2 linked regions of the Astyanax mexicanus genome follow. The protein of the gene in region 1 purifies or fractionates together with the protein of each later gene. This does not show direct contact. Links are inferred from orthologs where the notes say so. Each region holds a gene or a part of one and is shown in the gene's direction. Other genes may lie near its edges.

What was found. The genes of interacting proteins can lie anywhere in the genome.
Region 2: the proteins of prkcz (region 1) and complement component 1 Q subcomponent-binding protein, mitochondrial purify together in Homo sapiens (affinity purification with mass spectrometry; 5 studies listed by BioGRID and IntAct, with this or other methods). This does not show direct contact. The link is inferred for Astyanax mexicanus from reciprocal best matches to the Homo sapiens genes PRKCZ and C1QBP.

The regions. Positions count from the first base shown.
Region 1 is NC_064419.1:7,968,940-7,976,813, forward strand, and holds the start of prkcz (protein kinase C zeta type), read left to right. Parts: upstream 1-4,806; 5' UTR 4,807-5,252; coding exon 5,253-5,323; intron 5,324-7,874. Other genes in the region: uncharacterized protein si:ch211-150o23.3, read right to left, coding at 1-170, 404-718, 1,475-1,510, 2,623-2,656. UniProt on the Homo sapiens protein: Calcium- and diacylglycerol-independent serine/threonine-protein kinase that functions in phosphatidylinositol 3-kinase (PI3K) pathway and mitogen-activated protein (MAP) kinase cascade, and is involved in NF-kappa-B activation, mitogenic signaling, cell proliferation, cell polarity, inflammatory response and maintenance of long-term potentiation (LTP).
Region 2 is NC_064408.1:12,096,505-12,103,591, forward strand, and holds the start of complement component 1 Q subcomponent-binding protein, mitochondrial, read left to right. Parts: upstream 1-3,989; 5' UTR 3,990-4,059; coding exon 4,060-4,309; intron 4,310-5,491; coding exon 5,492-5,642; intron 5,643-6,091; coding exon 6,092-6,185; intron 6,186-6,923; coding exon 6,924-7,019; intron 7,020-7,087. Other genes in the region: znhit3 (zinc finger HIT domain-containing protein 3), read right to left, coding at 634-717, 826-897, 1,038-1,075, 2,726-2,793.

The DNA.
Region 1 (7,874 bases):
TCTGAAATCTGCCCGCTGCGTCACCAGAGGAGTGTCCACACCACTCTTATACAGGTAGAAATCAATAGGGTGCCGCCAGTAGGGGGCAGTGCAGGTGAAGAGGACAGCCTCTCCAGCTGAATACGCAGAGAAGGGGGACTGCATGGTCAGGGTGGGCGCAGGAAGTTTATCTGCAGAATAAAATGTAAGGTCACTGATTAGAGTTCAGTCCTGTTAAGACTGTTAACAAAGTGAGTCTTTCATACTGTATATTATCTTTATATCTTCAGAACTCCAGTGCTAATTGTTGGGATATAAGCTTCCTTTCCTTTCTAGCAACATAAGCCTCATAGCTCCAGTGCTAATTGGATCATAGATTCAGCACTAATTAGTGGGATATAAGCATCTATTGCTTGTCTCTCACCTGTGCACTCCACTCCTGCATCTTCGTTGTGTAAACACACTCCATCGTTGGTGGTGCGCTCGCACAGGTCCAGTGTGAACTCGTCCCCTGAGCACCCGACGTTCCTCCACCACACCTCCCCGATGGATCGGCTGTAGTGTGCCCCCGGCCGTGTGGTGAAGGCGAAGCCACAGTCCAGCTCTCTGCACACCACTGCTGCATCCCGCAGATCCCACCCCTGAGAACACACTGTGCCCCACCGCTCACCTATAAACACCTCCACACGGCCAGAGCAGCGGGACCCCTCCACACTGCCCAGCCTCACCCGCAACTCATCTAGAGACAGAGACAGAGATAGAGAGAGAGAGAGCGCGAGAGAGGGAGAAAGAGACAGAGAGAGGTTACTACACAATCCAGCATTGAAGATCACACTAATAACAGATTACACTAATTCTAGAGTTTGAAGTGGAAAGAACTCTGGTGTAAAATTGACTTTGGGTGTAGTAAAACATGATAAAGAGTACTAACCTCTGTTGAATAGCACACCTCCGCTCTCCTACACCTTTCAGCGATCCAGTAATTTTGTACGGTTTCTCCAAACATGCTTTAGAATGGATGATATGGGGCATATTTTTAGGTTAGGTTATGCTATGGGTTGTGCACAGTGGTTTTAATAAGCTTCTTGCGCACTTTCAAAGTTATTAATGCCTCCTTTAAAATGTCAGAGCTCTCCGGATTCTAACAATAAGGTGTGGAGCTACTTTGAGCCTGAATAACGGTGTAAAAAGTGATTTATCTGCAGGGGCAAAATATGTTTGGAGAAACTGCACAAAATTACTGGATCTCAGAAAGCTGTGGGAGAGTGGAGGTGGACTATTTTCATGTTTTACTACAAAGCACCTGATCTTTTCTGTATAGCTGCAACAGAACTGCTGTAGGAGAGCAGGCAGGTTCTGCATCACATGTTCACTACACAAAGAATCTACTGGAGAACAGTGATGGAAAGGGAAACTGGAACAGCATTTGGTTTCATATCTCTGACCTGTCCTCTATTAGTGCTGTTGTGTTGGTTGTGTACAGTGATCAACTTACCGAACCCCAGAACGTTCCAGACAGAGACTTGTCCGACTGTTCAAAAAGAAAAAAGAAGATACAAACTGTTATGCATCAAAATAAATATTGGACTAGTATATTCTTCAAATTAATAATATACTTATTAATCTCCAAGAATATCATGAACATTACATAGATATTTTTAGCAACACCAGAAATTCATGCATTAGATGACAGTGTACAAAGAACTACCAGAAGGTACGGTGTGTATAAAAACAGTGTTGTATTAATAAACCAACTGTGCACTTTCAAAGATCTCATTGCCTTATTTTATTTTATTTTTACCCCCAAAAAATTAAGAAAAGCAACAAGAGATTAACAATTTAGAACTGACAGTATCTATTTCAAATTGAAAGATCTCTTGCAAGGCTTTGTGTATCCTCTTCCAGTAATTTAATACTGGGGCAGTGCCAAAAAATATATGGTAATGGATAGCATTTAGATTTCCATAGTTTCTCCAGCACACTGGGGGGTTTTTATCATACAATTGGGTATAAAACTTCATTGTTTCATTTTTGTTCCATTTACTTTGGTGAGAAAGATACTGATCTGTTTTTCAGTCTTTAGTTTTTCATTTCTCCCTTTCACTAACAAAATAAAAAAAAGTGATCTAAATTATTTTTAATGATTTTTCAATTTGTGTATCTTGTAACAGTAATCTGATAGTATAAAGGAACTTACTTTTGTTACAAAATGTAAAAATCTAAAAATTAAGAAAGATTTTTTATTTTCCCTGAAATTCTAAAGTTATATATATATATATAAACTTCTTCTATACTACACTATATGGTAAAAATGAAAAAGATAAGTAAATAAGTAAGTTATGTTAGCGAAACGCAGAAATGAAAAACTAAAGATAGGAAAACCAGATCAGTTTCTTCTAAAAAATTAAATAATGAAGTTTTATACCAATTGTTAATGAAAATTTTAGCCTGAAATGGTATGAAAATTAAACTGATAAATTTTACACTGACCAATAACCTGTATTACCACACAAAGTTTTAAAGATATTTAGAGCTGAGAAATCTCCTATAAAACAGAAGATCTCTGAGTCTGAGATAAAAACAGGAGCAGTGTTAAATGATCGAATTTGATGAAGGAGAGCAGGCTGAGTTAACGCTACTGACCCAGCAGAGCTGTGAGCAGCACAATCATCTCCATCTCTGATCCATAAATTAGCGGGTTTAAGGTGTGAAACCCACAGGACCGCAGAACTGACCGGTCCAAACCTCCAGCCCGGACCCGAACCTCGCCCCGATCTTCTCTAATAATACAACATCTCCGACCTTCCCGAGCTGCGGCATATTAGCTAGCTAGGTTAGCTAGCCAGCATGCTAAGCTCTGCTGCTCTGAAGAGATGCAGTGAAAGCTTAAGCTAAGCTAACCTAGCTAGCCTGTGTGCTAACTTTACCTCAGCTCTGAGGTAAAACAAAAACTCAAACAGCGAAAATATCGATTATTATCCCACAACACAAACTATCCGTCCCGCACAGCCTCCAGCAGCTCGGGGATATCAGATATAATCGATATTAAACCTGATTACAGGTGTAGTTAAATATTCTCACAGGCAGGTTTAGCGGCTAGCAAAACTAATCTGAGGGAAAAGCTCTAAAAAAAGCGCCTCAGTCTTAAAGCTGTACTCTCCCTCTAATCCACACCTGTGTGTGTGTGTGTGTGTGTGTGTGTGTGTGTGTGTGTGTGTGGGCATTGTGTTCCTAAAATACTTCCACGATATTTTAGGGTATTTTTGCTATAAAAATATTTTTGGCGATATGATTTTTACTAATTTACTAATTAATACTAATTTTTTACTTACATTATACTAATTAATTTTAAGAATATATTACTGGGAAAAAAATATTAAGAGAATTTTAGAGTTTTATACATTTGAAGCAAAAACATTAATACTAACTTTACCTTAACATTTTATTTTATATTTAAAAAAAAAATACTAAAATAGTGTAACAAAATGAAAAAAAAAAACATAAATAATGTAACAACAAACTAATTCAGTCACAGCTGAATTTTTAGTACTTGCATAAAAAAACGTTTTCATAATGTTAATAATTGTCTAGAAATGTGAGAAACGTTATAATTATGTTGCGATACAATTTTTTTTTGACATTTTAATGTCACATGTTACATAATAACCTTTCCAAAACCTTTTTAAAACGACCAGTAGGGTAAAGTGTGCCATATTGCAATATATCATGATTCAGTTATACTGTGATATCAGCTGTATTTTGTTTTGAAAGCAGTCTACTCTGTATTTGTTTTGCTTTTTAAGCTTTAAAAGTTTTTACTGTAAAATATATTAATCCTAACACACACCTTCTGTTTTGAAAGGGCTGCTGAATCTTACTCAGCCTGCAGGTGGCGCCAAAACACCAGCCTTTCAGCTTTCAGTCAGTAAAGCAGGTAAATGCGTATGAAACAAAAATAATTGGATTACAAATAACTAAAGAAAATGCCACAATAATAATAATAATAATAATAATAATAATAATAATTTTTATCCTCCATATTTATATTGTTATGTCTGTTAGACCCTACACCAAAAAGTTAGGTTTATTAGTGAAGGCTGTGGTTCTACATGGATTAATGACAACTAAAACAACTATTTCAACGTCTGACTGGTTCTTTGCCTTATTATAATTTTTTTTACTAATAAAAAGTAAACAAACAAAATAAATAATTCTAGTATAATGTGGTGGAACTTGGACACATAACATATATTGAACTTTCTCCGACCCAATCCCAGAATGTTCTGACTTAGGCTCAGAAACTTTTACGTAAATACAGAATATACACTCATAAATACTCCACTGTAATTGTAAAGTGCATTTACACTTTTCTTACTTTATGTTTATTTGGATATAGTATTCTAATGTTATCTAGAGGTTATTACAGGTAGACACTCACTGGTCACTGACTTTATGTTTATTTGGGTTTAGTGTTATAATGTTATGTAGAGTTAATTACAAGTAGACACTCTCACTGGTCACTGACTTTATGTTTATTTGGGTTCAGTATTCTAGTGTTATATAAAGTTAATTACAGGAAGACACTCTAACTGACCACTGACTTTATGTTTATTTGCGTTTAGTATCATAATGTTATATAGAGTTAGGTACAGGTAGATACTCTTACTGATCACTTAATTTATTCTTGTTTGGGTTTATTGTTATTGTTTTATTGTTTTATATGTTATATAAAAATAATTACAGGTAGACACTCACTGACCACTGACTTGATGTTTATTTGGGTTTATTATAATGTTATATAGAGTTAATTACAGGTAGACACTCTCACTGACCAGTGACTTTATTTATACATCACTAGCAGGATTTTTAAGTTAATTGAAGGTAAGTGGATTATCACAGTGTTAGCCACTGTGAGACTGGAAGTGTGTGAGGGGTGTGTGTGAGTGTGTAAGTAATCCCGTTGCTCTGTTTAGGGAGGGTGAGTGTCCGTACCCGGAGCGCGCAGGTCGGTCATGGGAAGCGCGTGCACGCGCACTACCAGCACAATAAACCCAACAGGTGTGTGTATGGGTGTGTGTGAGTGTGTGTGTGTATGGGAGTGTGTGTGTTTGTAGGCAGCCCCGGGTCCAGCAGTGGGGTCAGCGGGGCGCTGTGGGAGCTGTAGCCGGACTTGGAGCCTCACAGCCCGGCCAACTGCCCCTAGGAGCCCCGGCAGGTTAGCGCGGATAGTTGGCGGAGACTCCTTTAGCAGCACCGGGAAGAAGACGGCGAACATGCCGGTCAGAAACGGCTCCATGATGGAAATACATGAGGAATATGTGAAGATAAAGGCTCATTACGGAGGGTATGTTTACTTTTAACTTGTTTAAAAAGCTTAAGTTTGCTTTTTATTTCTAACTCTCCAGTCCACCTTAAATGGTGCAGCATAACACTATAACCCCCGAAGCGTCTGAACGTAAACTGATGCACTATTTAAGGTGGAACGGGGAGTTCCAAAAAAAAAAAGTTTTCAACTTTTTTTTTTTAGCTAAATTTAATATAACGTAATAGTGTTAATTACTGACTGTAGATTAAAATAGACAGGTTGTAATATTTATTTGAACCAGTTAAATAAGCTCATCTGTAGTTTACTGGATAAACTGAACACTTCTTTTCTGAACTCTACAGCTAGCCTGCTAACTCTGTTATCTTTTCTTCCTCCCTTCCCTTTTAAAAGCTGAACTTATCTCCTCTTATCTTCTTGAGAAACACTTCATTTAAGCTCCAGCTCTCTCTGCTTGCTTTACTCAGCCTTAGGCCCAGTGCCTGCCTAATGAAACAGAACCGGTTGCCAGGTCTGTCTCCTTCCAGTTCAGAGGCTTAACTGTTAATTTATTTATTTACACCTTCAGAGCTCTCCTGTAATGATCTGAGCAACTTTTCCTGAAGTTAGTCATTAAGACAGATTGTTACCTAACTCCATCACTGGTCATGTGGGGGAGCCTGTCATGGAGAAATTTCACAGGGGTGTGTTATTTAATAGGGCAATGCCATACATATCTAATCACTATAATTTTTTACTTTTTATTTCCTGTCATGGAGGCGTCCACCCTGTTATGACAAACTGCGGGATAGACGATTTTAGTTAAAATTGCTAGAGCTGAAACCGAGCTGTTAAACTGTTCATAGTGACCTTGTTTTGTTTTAAAGATAATTTTGATCTCAAAAATAGTTTATAAAAATTACCATGATATGTAGGGAGACAATATGAGAGTTATTAAGTGAAATAAATCTTATTAATTGCTGAACATGCAGCAGCAAGTGATTTCAGTACCTTGAAAATAAACAGTGTGAATGTTGTGATGCCACTGAGGTCAAATGCCTAAATAATTAAGAACATGTTTAAATAAAATAAGAAATACGTTATTTAACGACCTAAAAGAATTACTGTTTCAGCTCCACCCATTTTAAGTTAAAGAAGTGTTGCAGCATAGACTTCTTCATGGATGTAGTAGAGAGGTGAGTTAATTAGTGTATCTGCTTGTTTTGTTTGTAAAGTGGAGAGACATCACTGAAATATGGCGTTGGAAGAGGAACTGGGTTTGGGAGCTGAGGGCTAAAAGAGAAGTGCAGAGATAAGGGTTGAGTAGGAGTTCAGGGTTGAGGAGCAGTTCAAGAATGAGGAGATAATGGTTGAGGAACTCATGTTTGAAAAACTCAGTGGTGTGGAGGAGCAAAGGGGTTAGGAGCTCATTAAGGAGCTTATAGTTTAGGAGCCCAGGCCTCAGTTGGAGCTCAGGATTTGGAACTCAATATTAAAGGGGAGATCAGGATTGAATAAGAGCTCAGTGTTGAAGTGAACCTCAGGGTTGAGAAGCTCAGGGATGAGGAGGAGATCAGGGTAAAGGAGCTCAGGAGGGAAGAGCTCAGGGTTGAAAACTGAAAAATGAAGTGCTTAGCGTTAAAGAGGAGATCAGGGATGAGAAAGAAGGAGCTTAGGAGTGAGGAGCTTGGAAATGAGAAACTCAGGGTTGAGGAGTTGCTGAGGTTTGAGGAGATGCTCATGGCAGAGTAAGAGCTCAGGGTTAAGGAGATGCTCAGGGTTGAGGAGATGCTCAGGGTTAAGGAGGTGCTCAGGGTTGAGGAGATGCTCAGGGTTGAGGAGGTGCTCAGGGTTAACCAGGGTCTCAGCATTGAGGAGGAGCTCAGTGTTCAGGAACAGCTTAGGATTGAAGAAATCATGGGTGTGGAGGAGCTCAGGCTTCAGGAGGAGCTCAGGAGATAAAAACTGCGTGTGTGTGTGTGCCTGTGTGTTGCTGCCTCGTCTCACACACACTATAAGTCTGTCAGTTGCCTAGCAACCAGAACTGAACCCAGAAGATCCCAGAGAGTTCTCTCGCCTGTATATTTTGTCTAGTTGTGTGTGTTTAGTCTGTTTCACACTGTTAGACCGAGTTAAACCTATTTATTTAAACCAAGTTGATCAGAATTCAACTTTCAGAAGAGTGAAGTGAATCTAAATTAAAATGAGTTAAACCAAGCTAAACAGAGTTACGCTGAGTAAGAATTGAGTCACACTGAGTTAAAAGTTAAACTGAAATATTTATATTACCTTCTTCTTATATTTATCTTCACCTTCTTTACTTTTACTTTCTATACCTTGCTGAAACCACTGGCCAGTGATTGGAATCAAAGATGTTTGTAATAATAAAATAAAGTGCTCAGAGAGAGAAAGCACAAGGTGGGGTGTTTCTGATAAAGTGGCCAGGTGTGTGTAAAAGACTGTGTTGTTTGTCATATTCCAGTCTGATGTAAATTCCTGTGGAGCTGTAAAGTGTGTAATGATTAATCTAGGTGGGGGGGGGGAGGGGGAGGGCTGGTTTATGATATGATAGTAAAGTTATAAATACTCAGGA
Region 2 (7,087 bases), on another chromosome or scaffold:
GTGAAGTCAGCCACCGCTTCTTTTCAAGCTGCTGCTGATGCAGCATTGCCGAGCAGCATCAGAGCGCACTCGGAGGAAAGCACAGCGACTCGGTTCTGATACATCAGCTCAAAGAGCCCTGTGTTGTGGACATCACCCTAGGAGTGATGTGGGGAGAGAGCGCCATCTACCCACCCGGAGGGAGCAGGGCCAATTGTGCTCCCTCTAATTGATGGTAAAGCTGCATAAAGGTGGTTTGAACCTGCGACCTCCTGCTTATAGTGGCAGCGCTTTAAACCGCTGGACCACTAGGTGCCCGCGAAAAAAATACTTTAAGAAAAATGAAGGTCAGTCAATCCTCAAGTGCAGTCACAAAGACCATCAAAAACATTATGATGGAACTGGCTCTCATCAGGACTGCCCCAGGAAAATGAGAGCAAGAGTCACCTCTTTTGTACAGGATAAGTTTATCAGAGTTACCAGCTTCAGAAACGAGCATTTTGGTTTGTTTAACACTTTTCAATTATTACATGGTTCCTTGTGTGTTCCTTCATAGTCTGGATTACTTTAGTATTCATTTATAATGTAGGAAACACTTTACTGTACCAAATATACAACCATGACAAACTGCCAACTAATTAACCAAAAACATACCTAATTGTTGAAGTCTTTCAAGAGGAACTCTGTCTGACTGGCTGTCCTCATCCAGGAGATCATCAGCAGTCCAGGGCTCCTCAGCTGAAATCACATTTTAATTAATTAATTAATTTTTTAAACAACCAGTTCAGAGTGTGAAACCTGTTTATAATGCTTATTTGTGGTTTCTGGAGCTCTTCACACACTCACCAGTGCTCGCACAGACTTCTGGAAGTGGTGTGGTGACAGGAGGTGTTGTATCTTTCACTTGCTGACAGGAATCTATATAAAACATACAGAAAAGTATTATTCATCAGAGTTAGGTTTAGGGGAACACATGTTACATGTTATATGACCAACTCTAGTAAAGCTGAACAGATCATTTACAGCAAAAATAAACATTAAACCAGAAAATTACTTACCATCAGTTTTGTGTTTCTTAAAGCAACCCAGTGAACAGCTACGATCAAAAAAAGAACACAAACGTTATTATTTGGTTTCAGAGCAGCCAATGCAGAAACAGCTTCTTCCCTCACGTCATCAGGCATCTAAACAGCGCTTAGTCCACCATCCACCTTGCACTTCACTTTAGTTACTTTTCATTTACACTGCATCCACCAACATTGGATTCTCACATATGGATTCCCACATAACCACAGATATAGTAGGCATACATGTGTACACAGTTCCTATATTTATGTCCTGTCTGTTTAAGTCAAAAGTAGACAAAAGGACTTATGGGGCACAGTTTGGGACAAGTCCTTAGCACCTTTAATTTTCTCTTATACCTGCTATTATTTATTGTCTGTATTAATAGTTGTTATTATAGATATGTATTGAGTCACATACATATATCAGCCAAAAGTTTGGACACACCTTCTTATTCAATGTTTTCTTTATTTATTTCTTTATTTAATTTATTTCCTACATTGTAGCTTAATATTAAAGACAGGAAAACAATTAATGGGCACTAGGGGTGGGCAATATTATATCGTATACAATATATCGTGACACAGAAATATCATGATATTAAAAATCCATATTGTGATAATAGGGCTGTTCTGTCTTAAAAGTAGTCTATTATTTACTGTGAAGCTTTAAGTATATTTATTGTATAATTGTTTTAGTTAGCAGTTTATCATCACTGTCCTATGAAAAACACTTATCTCCATTTTTGTTCATTTTTAGTTTACTACATAATTTGAACAGACAAACTGTCCCTTACACTGTGCCAAAATTTCTTAATGCATAGACCAATAGAAACTCTTCAAAATGACCTTAAATAAACTCTTTTTACATTGACTTCCACTGAAAGTTTACAAGGTTTTTTCTGTTTTGGAGATCAGAGTTTTTCATTGGACAGCGACAATATGCATGCACTAAATATTCTGCAATATTTTTTGCTGCATTATATTACTTTATGCTATATTATTTATTTTGCCACATTATGATTATTCTGTTATACTATTATACTATATTCCTGAAATGAATGAATTATTTTAGTTTTCCTATATCGCCAAGTATATCGTTATCGCAAAAATACCCTGAAATATCGTGATATTATTTTAGAGCCATATCGCGCACCCCTAATGGGCACATATGGAATTATGTAGTAAACAGTAAAAAAAAAAAAAAATTGTCCTCCACCTGACCAATCCCCTGATCTAAACCTGATGAACTGAGATGGTGATTTGAGGTGATTTAATTGGGATGAGCTGGAGCTTCACAGCGTTAAGGAAAAGCAGCAACTATTGTTCAGCACCTCCAGGAACTCCTTCCTTTAAGATACTGAGAAAACTTTTTCAGGTGACTCTCCCTCATGAAGACACTGAGATTAAAATACCAAGAGTGTGCAGATCTGTCCTCTAAGATGAATGAGCTACTAAGAATAATCTAAAGTATAAAACATTTTCTGGTTTATTAAACACTTTGTTTACAGAATAATTCAGCATGTGTTCCTGTATAGCTTTAAAATATACTTCAATATTAAATTTACAATGTAAAAGATTAATAAGAAGAAAGAAAACAAAACACACTGAATGAGAAAAAGAGGTGTGTCCTAACTGTTGGGCTGGTACAGTATGGGAGTGTATAACTGTGGTATACTCACTATCTGATCCTGCAGGCTGGGCATCTGTATTTAGGGAGATTTTCACTGCAGATTCCGCACAGCTGCATCACTCCACAACACGCTGCTCAACATACACACACACACACACAGTTTACACCGGAACAGCGCCATTATCATATAATATAACACTGTACATTAAATATTACACTGTTAATACAGCCATATACTCACCCACTTCTCAAATAACTTAAAAAAAGGAGGTTAAATGACTTGAAGTAACTTCAGCCTCTTAAAACACCTCTTCTCTCACTAGCAATGTGGAAACACCACTGAAAAGGGGAGGAGGCACAGCATTTCAAAATAAAAGTTTACAGAAAAAAAATATTTCAGCAAGACCTGACATAAAAGGAAACTATTTTGATATGCCCCTAAAGTCCTATCATAATTATTTAATTTAAATTAAATGTATTACTAGTAAAGACATCTAAAAAAAACCCTAAAAACTAAGAACAAATAGTGAATAGCGTTTATATATATATATATATATATATATATATATATATATATATATATATATATATATATATATATATATATATATATATATATATATAAACATTTTTCAGATTTTTGATGTTTTATCATTTTTCTTGCTTAGGATGAAAGGATGATTTAATCCTTTATTCTTTTATATTAATCAATTATATTTATTTCTTACAACATGTTATCGAATTATTTAACAAATTTTACATATGTTTTAATTTAATTTAGCAATTTATTTATTACATTAGGGACTGGCCTAAGCTTCTGTTGCCCCAGCTGAAAATTAAGTACTGATTTCGTTTCTTTTATTATATCTGTATATGCAATGTACACAGTACTAGTCAAACGTTTCTCATTTTATGTTTTTATTTATTTTTCTATAAGTTATTTTCTACCTTGTAGATTACTAGTTAAGACATCAAAACTCTGTAGCAACACATATTATGAAATTAGTTTTTTTTACTTTAATTTATTTATATTATATTTTTTGTATTGTTATAGATTTTTTTGCTTGTTCAAAATGAATTTCACTTTTTGCCAAACTTGAAATATTTAATAATGTGATGCCTAAACATTAAATTATGTATTTTATGAATATGATATTTTTAATGAATTACGCTGTTAAATATTTAAAGTTAAAAGTGAGACACATATAATTCAATTATACAATAAAACAGTGTATATGTGAGCAGTGACTTTGAAACTCAGAGACTTTTATTTTGAAAAGAGCCCTGTGATCAGCTCCGGCTTCGCACTCGGCTCCGTCCCCTGTCCTTCCCCACGTGTTTCCAGGCTATTCAGTCCTTCACTCTGCTGGAGATCAGGCCGCCATGCTGAAGTCCCTGAGCCGTGCTGTGAGCGTCGCCGCTCGGCTTTCTACCAAAGCCCCGGCCGCCAGGGCCGCGCTGGCGAGCCCGGCCCTGTGCGCTCCCAGCTCGGCCTCCACTCGGCCTTTTACCCGCTCCATCTGGATGCTGTGCAGCAGTAACGGCGCGACCTCGGGCAGCAGGCCGAAGCTTCTGAGCACGGAGCGGGGGCTGCCGGCGGTGCCCTGCGGCTGCGGGGGTCTCCACACTGAAGGTAACCTGTCTAATTTATCTGAAGGGGGATTATCCGCTTATATAACGCCGTGTGTCTGGTTTCATCAGCCGGTTAAAGAGAGACACAGAGGAGCCTGGGGCCAAGGCTGGAGAGGGAGCTGACTTATTATCTAGTTTATCTTTCTATAACTAAGATTTACTGTAATACTATGAGATATATAAATATAGTAGCTATTATATAGTCTTAATTTTGGTTTGCCTCTCATAAATTGGACTATACTTCTTATTTTTTATACTTTAATTAGATCTAACTAATGTAATATACTTGTAGTATACAGAGACAGAGCGTGACTGTAAATGTTGGTGTATGAGTTTGACAGCTACCCAAGTTAAAAGGATATTATATCTGGTTATTTGGGTTAATTCTATAAAAAAACTAAATGTAAATGAATGGTACTGAATGTGTGATTCTACTTCCGTTCATTTCTACAAGGAATGTGACCTTGATGAAAGTCAGAGCAGGGTTGAGGTTGAGTACTGTAGGTTAACTTGGATGACCATCTCCATCCAGATCAAGAACTTTTGAGTGGAGGGCATATTTAAGGATCCAGTTTAAGGTGCTTTATAAAATTAGTAACTGTAAAAAGTACAGTAAGGTAAATAATTATTTGATCCCTTGCTGATTTTATAAGTTTTCCCACTGAAAAAGACATGAACGGCCATTATTTATTTTAGTCAGAACAAAAAATTTAAGGGTAAGTTATTTTTAACAGAGAAAGAAAGAATATCAAAAATAAAATCCAGAATTATAAATATAAATTGTATAATTTTTTATTGTATTTCGTAGGGAAAAATATTGCGTATGTTATCCCCTAAAAACCATTAAGAGTTTTGGCTCCTACAGACTAGTTAGACGCTTCTAATGAACTCCTAATTACCTGCATTAAAGACATTTTAAAAGCCACAAGCTGTACAACATTTTGCTGATTTCTAAAATGAAACAACCATGCAATAATTATTGCATATTAACTATTCTTTTCCAATTATTTACACATGTACATTCATGTACATGATTTGTTACATCAAAATATTATATAATATAATAATAATATAATATAAAATTATTAAAATAAAAAGGAGCTAATGTCAATGCTTCTTGTCATTTTTAATAGATAAGCATTTTTTTATGTGTGGTGGTGATCATCCCTCTCTTCTCTTCCAGGCGATAAAGCGTTTGCAGAATTCCTCTCAGATGAAATTAAAGAGGAGAAGAAGATCCAGAAAAGTGCAACTCTTCCCAAAATGTCTGGAGGATGGGAGCTCAAACTCAACGGCACAGAGGCGAAACTCATTCGCTCCCTTTCTGGAGAGAGGTACGATTTTTATGAACAATTATTAAAATCATGATTGCATATAAAATGTCATTCAGGAGATCATGTGGTTTGAATCCAGGTCATGCATCTTGCCATCAGCTGCAGGAGCCCTGAGAGAGTTTGTCTTGCTCTCTCTGGGTGGATAGATGGCGCTCTTTCCCCTCATCACTCCAAAGGGTGATGTTGATCAGCACAAGGTGTCTGTATGTGAGCTGATGTATCAGAACCTCCTAGTGCGCTGTGATGCTACTCAGTAATGCTGCATCAGTTAGAAAAGAGGCGGAGTCTGAATTCACATGTGTCGGAGGAGGCGTGTGCTAGTCTTCACCTTTCTTGTGCTGTGGCATCACTAATGATAGGGGATATACAGCTGAGTAGCAGCTGAATGGATTGGATATTTGGACTAGCCAAATTGGGATCTTAGACTTACAGATTTATTTTTCCCTTAGGGTGACCATCACATTCAACATTAACAACAGTATCCCCCCAACCCTGGAGGAAGAGGAGGAGCCAGGGCATGGACAGAAGGCAGAGGAAAAGGAGGTAAAGCATCCTTCCATTTTTCACACTCTAAACTTATTTACAAATGGTTACCAAATTCCAATATATATATATATATATATATATATATATATATATATATATATATATATATATATATATATATATATATATGTATTGGTAATGCATGAATGTATGTTGTTTTTCTGCCATTTACACCACATTCTTGCATGGTGTTTTAGGTCTTTCCCCAGTATACATGCACAGATTACAGCACCATCATTTCTGACTTGTGCACTAAAATAAACCCCTATGATTTTTAATGCAGTTAAAACTAGAAGCCACAAACAGAAGCATGAAATTATTGCAGCTTGTTTCTGGAAGAAATTTGCTTAATAATTAGATTTTCCATTCCACCTTAAATGAAAGAATAGTCACATTCTACCACCTTAAAGTATCTTTAAGGGTAGATGAGAAAACAGTAACAGCACACAGATGCGAACCAAAATAGTGGATATATATATATATATATATATACACACACACACATACATGCACACTAAAAAAGACACTATAAGAGCATTATTTTATTATTTTGATTGTATTTTTTATTTGTGTCTTATCTTATTCATTCTTTTTTTTGGAACGTCTGTGTACTGTGTATACGTGCTGCTACTGAATGTCGAGAATTTCTCCCAGCAGCTTTTATATTAAACACGGTTCTAACAAATCTTTAATTTGATGTTTTGCTTCTTTTGTTGTTTCTTGCTTGTCTTTTAGCCTGAAATCGTCTCGACACCTAACTTTGTTGTTGAAGTCCTGAAACAGGGGGCAAAAAATGCCCTGGTGTTCGACTGCCATTTCCCAGAAGATGAGGTAAGACCTCTTAACTCCTGAACACTCAGACTCTGCTGGTTAAACCAGTCTAAGGTTAATATACAGTA